Linked DNA regions of Coturnix japonica. The protein of the gene in region 1 binds, or shares a complex with, the protein of each later gene. Links are inferred from orthologs where the notes say so. Each region holds a gene or a part of one and is shown on either strand. Other genes may lie near its edges. The genes, in order: OGDH and TCAIM.

Region 1 (3,815 bases):
CAGCAATGCTCTAAGCCAGCCCACACTCAGAGGCTGCGCTGAGGTCTGCGGATGGCACAGGGCCCTGAGCACAACGCTGGCTGCATAAAGGGAAGGCAGTGAAGTGGTTGATGAGAACCTGGCTCTGACCCTGCCTTAGGGCTCCCACAGGCTGTTTGGATGCGTGAGGTCAATGCTCTGAAAACAGCTCATTGCTGACACAAGCGTTTGAGCACCAACTTCCTTCCACATCCCCTGAGCACCCGTGTGACAGCTGCACAATAAGTCTGCCCTGGGAGCACCACAACGTGCACGAAACCCTTTTACAGATGATGTGAGTAAGGCTGAAACTCGTTCCCTGCGGTAAAACTTCCTTTGTGTGACGCCGGGGGAAAAACACGGCGGGCTTTCAGAAATGCCCCGACCATCCAGGAGCAAAGCCCACAGCTCTGCCTCGTGCTGCAGTGATGCACCAACACACGGCCCCGCTCAGCAGGGCACAGACAGCAAACGGGACATGAGATGTGAGGGGGACCCTCTCCTTGTCACCCCCAGGATGGACCCTCCTGTAAGGGCTGGAGAGCAGACAACATCTGGAGCTCGGCAGGACGGATTCCCAATGAAGCCGTTCCTTGTATCCATGTGTGATCCAGGACGTGTTGGCTGCACACAAAGCACAGGGTGGTCGCTCTGGAGACGAGAAGCTTCTGATGCAGCTGCTGCTTTCAGTTGAGCGCAGAGGAACAGACATCCACACCCTGATGAATCCTCGTGGGACGCTGCATTACCTGCCCCCAGGGCCACGCACACACCGAAGCGGAGGCGTTTTCCCGGGGAGCTGCTCCTTACCTTATGTACACTTTTGGGATTTTCCAGCCACGCATAGTACATTTCCTCCACATAGTTTGAACTAGTCCCGCTCAGAAAAGGCTCGGCAGCCACCGGCGCGCTGTAGCACCGGATGGGCTGAAACGTCCTGGGCGCTGCCGGCCTCTGTTGGGAAATTGTCTTAACAGTCTGAGCGGCCGTGAGCGGCCTCAGCTTTGCTGCACAAGTCCTTAAGTTAAACATGTTTGTCCGACGGCCTCACACGAGTCCCTGTGGGAACAGAAGCAAACAGAGCTTTAGGAAGGGGCGCAAGGCAGCGCGAGCACCGTCACCCCTGGCACCAGCTTCGTAAGTGAGCAACAACCTTTGCTCGCACAACAGCCCGGAGCTGCTGCTGATTTATTCCCATCCCTTCCCCATGCACTCAGCTGATGGGCACGTGACTGCGGCACAAGGGAGCCCTGCGAGGTGCCCAGCTCACACCAGGCCATGGGCAGCAGTGCCCCGTGCCCATGGTGTGCATTGGGACAGCACCGCATGGAATCAGAGCCCAGCACTGTTGGGTGTAGGAGCACAGTCGGGGCTGGGAGCTGCAGGATGCCACCCAAACAGGGGCCAAACCAGCCCGGAAAGTTCCAGCGACTTGATTTATTTCTTACCAGCTGGATGCTGCGCTGCCCTGCGCTCAGCTGACCCCGTCCTGCCGGGACACAGCACAGCACCCCGAGCAGGGTTTGTATAACCAGAGCTTTCTCCTTCGCTCCCCTTCCTGCTGCGCGTGGAGCAGAGCGGCTCAGCCCGGCCCATTCCTGCTGCATTACTCACGCTGCCTCTGGCCTCCATCCATCTGACAAGGAGCCCGCAGTGACTCTCAGTGCATTGAGGGGGATGGGGCTGACCCCACAATGTGTGGGGCTGGGAGTGCAGCGAGAGACCGAGGTGCTACAGCTCACCTTGAACTGCGGGGCAATGGGAGAAGTGACTGCAGGAGGAGCTGGGCCACAACACAACTCAGCATCCCATGGACCAAAGAGGGTGTGGGGTCCTGGGCAGGTCCCCCCATCTCCTCCCCACTCACACTGCGATAAAGGCCAATGATACAGCCCCAGCAATGAGAATGGGCTGACGAGACTCCCTGTCCTGTGTCCATCCCATACCCGTCCCACACTGGATGTGCCCCCACAGCCTCACACTGATTTTCCCATCACTTTATGGTCACCCCTGATGTTTTTTCGGCTCCTTTTCGCCCCCATGTCTCTATAATGGCGGCTCACAGCCCGTTATGGCTCTATGAGCTCACACCCCCCCGTTCTGTCTCTATCTCTGCCGGTTCCCCACGGACCGGTCGCAGTTTCACCCCGTTGCGGCTCCGATTCCCCTTAAAGTGCCGGATTTTGGTGCCGAGCGTTTGGGTCGAACCATCCGAACCTCCCGGTACAGAACTGCTGCCGTTAAAGGTGACGGCAGCGCAGCAGTGCCGGGCCTGGACTCCCGGCCGGCATTAAGGCATTAAGGCATTAAGGTATTATTAAGGCATTAAGGCATTAAGGCATTAAGGCATCGTTGCACAGCTCCCGGCCCCGCTCGCGGTTCGGTTCCGATCCGGTTCCGACCCGGTTCCGGTCCCGGTTCCCACGTGCTGCAGGGCGCCAGGCTCGGCCCCGCCCCCGCGCCCCGCCCGCCAATCAGCGCCCGCCTCCGCCGCGCGGCCTTCGCGCCCTCCGCCACCAATCAGAGCGGCGCGAGGCGCGTCGCCGCCCCCCGATTGGCCGAGCGGACCGTCCGTCCCCGCGGCGGCCCCGCCCCCTCCCCCGCCCTGGGGCGCCCTGGCGGCGGCGCCAAGGACACGGACCCGGTTCGGGCCGCCCCCCCCAACACAACAACCCCGACCCGCCCGGCCCCGGACCAGACCGAACCGAACCGAACCGGACCGGACCGACCCGCCCCGTCCCCCATCCCGGTACCTGCCGCTCCGCGCTGCCGCTCGCGGCCCCGACTCTGACAGCGGCCCCCAACCGCCGGCTGCCGCCCCGCGTCGCCACGCCCCGCTCTGACGTCACCGCGTCGCCCCGCCCACAACGACGGACACGCCCCCAAAGAACCGCGCTGAGAACGGGGGGGGGGGGCGGCCATAGGGACATAGATGGGGACATACATCTATAGGGACATACATCTATAGGGACATACAGCTATAGGGACATACATCTATAGGGACATACAGCTATAGGGACATACAGCTATAGGGACATACATGGGGACATACATCTATAGGGACATAGATGGGGACAGCCATCCACCCATAGGGACATACAACCGTGGGGACATCCATCCATAAGGACAGCCATCCATCCATGGGGATATACATAGGGACAGACAGCTGTAGGGACATACATGGGGACAGCCAGATGTAGGGACAGCCAGCCATCTATAGGGCCATACATCCATAGGGACACCCACTTATAGGGACATCCATCCATCCATGGGGACATCCATCCATAGGGACATACAACCATGGGGACATCTATCCATAAGGACATCCATCTGTAGGGACAGCCATCCATGGGGACATCCATCCATCTATAGGGACATCCATCCATCCATGGGGCTATACATCCATCCATAGGGACATATATCTATAGGGATATCCATCCATCTATAGGGACATCCATCCATCCATAGAGACATCCATCCGTAGGGACATCCATCTACAGGGGCATCATCCATAGGGACAGACATCCATCTGTAGGGACATCCATCCATCCATGGGGCCATACATCCATCCATAGGGACATACATCTATAGGGATATCCATCCATCTATAGGGACATCCATCCGTAGGGACATACAACCATGGGGACATCATCCATAGGGACATTCATCCATAGGGACATCCATCCATCCATCTATAGGGCCATCCAACCATTGGGGTCTGCAGCACACAATGGATGCACATTGTGGATGGCCATTGTGGTGCAGAGCCCTCCGGGTGTGGGGAACATCCGTTATGG
Region 2 (3,815 bases), on another chromosome or scaffold:
TGCTAATGGTTCTTCAACCTTTACTTTATTTCTATGTGCCTTAAGTATATAGCACATATTTCCTTGGGTATATGTCATTTGTACAGATTATTTGAAGGCTCTGTTTGCTGATATTTTCTGTATTTCCAGTTAACTGAAATTCTACTGGTTCTACTTGTTTAAACAGGGAGAAAGCAAAAGCTAGTTAAGTCTTGTATGGAAAATTATTGAACTGGGGTTTTCAGGGATCACTTTTTTGGATTTTGAGAATAAAGAAAGCAACTGCTCATTTTGTTTGTGCTAAGAAAATGTGTTACTTGTGACACATTAGTAGCGTGCCTAAATCTTACATAATTGTGTGAATGGTGGCAGTAAATAATGAAATTTAGTAAGGAGCTTTCTTTGATCTTTAGGACGCACGGTGGTTTTCACAGATCGTTCAGGTATGAGTGCAGCAGGCCACGTGATGCTGGGGACCATGGATGTTCACCATCACTGGACCAAAGTAAGGTTTCAGAGCAAGTGCTGTTCTCTGTTGTTATGACATCCTTTTCTAAACTATAGCCAAAATATCGTCGCTAATTACTCATGAGTAATTTAAAGGAAAAAACATGGCTGCTATGTTTAGCGTAACCTTGTACATCACATTCTGAATTCAGTCTTATTTTACTAACAGCAGTCTTTGTCAGATCTTTTCTTCTGCTTCTACTAACAAACCAGTCTCATCTCTGATTAGATATAAATGACTCTAATAAGCTACACGTTGTTCCAGTCCATAGGTAATAAGTGCAATAAGCACTGGTGGAATATTTCTTCATCTATAAAGAGCTCATTCCCATGAAGAATTTAGGAATTCTGTTCTGATTGTTGATGTAAATGGAACTTAAATGGAGTTGTGAAGGGGTCTGTTCAGTCGGTGGCTGCTTTCCAACTCTGTATCTTCACTTTGTTCTTTTAGGCAGATGACGGAGGTGTTGCAAAAATTTATCTTCAGTGAATAGACAAATTCTGCTGTTTGTGTCAAGTTCAGATTCATCAAATTTCTGGCATCCTATATAATAAAGCACTGTATGAGGATGCATGTCACTTCAAGGGAATTTTCCTGAATCTTGATAATTAAAATGCTAGCAATAGTTCTTTCAAAAAAATATTTCTGTGTAAAGTGATAATTAGAGGAATTTCATAGTTGGAAATTTCACCCAGCTAGAATTTAAGAATATTTTATTTCTGCATTCCAGTCAGTTATCATATGAAAACTGAGCACTCAACCTAAAGTTTTCTCTGGTGATGATTTGGATTTTTGCCTGTACATTTCACTGAAGGAAATGATAAGCCATGTTTTGTTAATATGGAATGATTTATGAACTTAATAAAGTGAGAAACTAGAATTGAATGCAGAGCTTTCTACTCTGAGATTTGCATTGATAGTAATTGGAATACAAGTATTTTTCTAATACTGGGGGAAAAAAGCCAATCCATTCCTTAATGAGATAAATGTTTCCTCTTTCTAACTGGCCAAAAGCTGCTTGGATTCTACTACTCTCTCATATTTATAAAGAGGTTATTCTGAAATCACTTGATTGTCCCAGCAAAAGTATTTTCTTTTTTTTTAAATGAAAAACTGTGTTCTGCTAATAGCTGAGTAGGTGGTATGTGGTGACTACGACAGACTTTTTTCTTACAGCCTTTCCTCTGTAACCAACCTTCTGTGTCTTGGCTCACAAGTCTGATCACATCTTAATCTTTTCTGGCAGAAGTTTGTAAATTAGATGTCCGGTTCTTTCCTTCCCTCCTTCCCCCAGGGAAGTGGTGGAGTCGCCATTCTTAGCAGTGTTCTAGAGGCGTCTGGATGAGGAGCTACGAGAGATGGTTTAGTGGCTTGTGGCAGCAACGGCGATGGGAGGGCGGTTGGACTGGATGATCTTGTAGGTCCTTTCCAACCTTGTGATTCTATGATTTTCCTCCAGACTCCAAATAAACGATATTATTAGCTGAGTCCATGGAAAGAACTAGTCCCAGTGCTGCAGGCTCTCTGTTGTTTGAGGAATGGATATATAAATTAGGCTGGCGAAGACACCCTTGATGACAGTGTGTGGTAGATATGCATGTAGGCATTTTATGTAGGCTTTAGATTATAATTTGCTTTAGATCTGGGAATGTTAATTCTGTATACATAGATATAAGGGGCATCCACTGATCTTGTCATATGGTATTGGTGCGTTTATAGTGTAAATACTGAAAATACTTACGAACTTTTTCCATTATATCTCACCCCAAAGTGTATAATAACAATATTACTTTCTTTTTTATATATATTCCTTGATTTCTGTTTCCCGTGTTTTTTATGTGTAGTGGGGTGTTTTTTTTGTTTGCTTGTTCTTTTTGTTTTCTTTTTTTTTTTTTTTCGCTGTTCAGTGTCTCTTGTTAACTTTTTCTAACAATTCAGTTGTACGCTTGATAACATAAAAAGCTCTTGTGTGTGTGTGTGTGTCCCCACAGATTTTTGAGAGGCTGCCAAATTATTATAAACTTCAGGAAAGGCTGCTGTTCTTGGAAGATCGGATAAGCCAACTTCTGGGAGGCATACAAGTAATATACGTAGAAGAGCTGCAACCCCTCTTGACTCTGGAAGAGTACTATGACACTCTGGACTCTTTCTATAACAAACTACTTGACAGTCGACTGCCTTTTCATCCCCAGAGCCTGAGAGGCTTGCAAATGATTCTAGAAAGGTGAGTATTTGCAGGAAAGATTTATTTCGTCTGGAGCTTTTAGTTTTTTTGTTGTTGTTCCACTGATTATTGCTTTCACTAAGAAGAAAACTAATAATGATTTTAGATTTTCAATGTATCAGTCTTATTTTTAAAGGTTTCTGTGCCTTTATATGGGTTAGGGAAAGAGTCAGGCTGAAGGAAATCATACGTATTTCATTCAATTCATTGGAGTCAAGGTGGAGGTTTTTATCTTTTGTTGTGTTGGGTTAAATCAAAGGTTTTGTGCTGTAAGAGCAACATTTATATATAATGATGACAAGTATATGTACTTCTTAATGTTGTTGACTGTGTTGCTTATGAAATGCTCTGGAAATATTTATGTATGATGTTTATGTATTCTTATGAACCAAACTTGATTATTTTTTTTACCTACTATTCTGATTATCTACTGATAATCTTATGTTCAGAATCCATTTTGTAAGTAATTCATGGGAGTAGTTATGTGGAAAAAAAGTCTTGCTTTTCATTTCCATCACGTTTCATTGCAGTGATAGATACACACCAAGCTTACATGAATTTGGACACTTCACCATCCCAACAGTCTGTGATCCAGCAACCCTTCGATGGTTTATTATTGCCAAAGCGCAGGAAGCAAGAGAGAATCTGAAAAGAAGGGAAGAGTAAGTGTTTATATCCCAGTACACTTTTGTTCATGAAAATCTTTGCACACCATGTTCCTTACTTGTAACAGTGCTGAAACTTTGAGGATAGCATTTTTGCTCTTCAGTTGGAAAAGCAACTTCTGTTTGTAAAGCAAAGCTTTACCTATCAGCTTTACTGAGTTGAAAATGGAAGCATGCTGTGAACACAGACATTTGATAGGAAATTACTGTCCTTCACACTGTAGAAATAGTTTGTCATTTATTCAGAAGCAGAGGATTTTTGCCTGTGTGGTTTTTTTGTTTGGTTGGTTTTTTTGATTTATTTTACAATGTCCCTAAAGAAGAGGCTTTCCCCCTTTTTCCCCTTCTTTTCCACCCTTTCCCTCCTTCCACACTGGAAGAGTCCTTGTTATTGAACTAAAAAATCAACAAACTTCTACTACTTATTTCCACAGTGACA

Evidence for each region.
Region 2: the proteins of OGDH (region 1) and TCAIM are in contact, whole or in part, in a cryo-EM structure (PDB 8I0K), measured with the Homo sapiens proteins. The link is inferred for Coturnix japonica from reciprocal best matches to the Homo sapiens genes OGDH and TCAIM. Residues at the interface, in NP_001425937.1 of Homo sapiens: Gly301, Tyr304, Arg323, Tyr354, Arg356, Ile358, Arg364, Asn365, Lys387, Glu391, Tyr394, Cys395, Gly396, Thr398, Glu399, Lys401, Lys402, Lys561, Met602, Pro605, Glu667, Gly668, Ile669, Asn709, Met734, Ala735, Ser736, Pro737, Asn738, Gln772; in NP_001269842.1 of Homo sapiens: Glu214, Gln234, Arg235, Ser236, Trp237, Gly238, His241, Ser244, His247, Ser248, Arg251, Gln255, Asp272, Arg273, Thr286, Met287, Asp288, Val289, His290, His291, Glu331, Leu332, Gln333, Pro334, Val335, Arg375, Tyr376, Glu441, Ser443, His473.

What each region holds. Positions count from the first base shown.
Region 1 is NC_029537.1:133,335-137,149, forward strand, and holds part of OGDH (2-oxoglutarate dehydrogenase, mitochondrial), read right to left. Parts: exon of another isoform or gene 2,983-3,815; intron 2,879-2,982; exon of another isoform or gene 2,772-2,878; intron 1,577-2,771; exon of another isoform or gene 1,467-1,576; intron 1,078-1,466; 5' UTR 1,051-1,077; coding exon 829-1,050; intron 1-828. UniProt on the Homo sapiens protein: 2-oxoglutarate dehydrogenase (E1o) component of the 2-oxoglutarate dehydrogenase complex (OGDHC). Participates in the first step, rate limiting for the overall conversion of 2-oxoglutarate to succinyl-CoA and CO(2) catalyzed by the whole OGDHC.
Region 2 is NC_029517.1:37,430,821-37,434,635, reverse strand, and holds part of TCAIM (T-cell activation inhibitor, mitochondrial), read left to right. Parts: intron 1-392; coding exon 393-484; intron 485-2,478; coding exon 2,479-2,711; intron 2,712-3,241; coding exon 3,242-3,373; intron 3,374-3,815. UniProt on the Homo sapiens protein: May regulate T-cell apoptosis.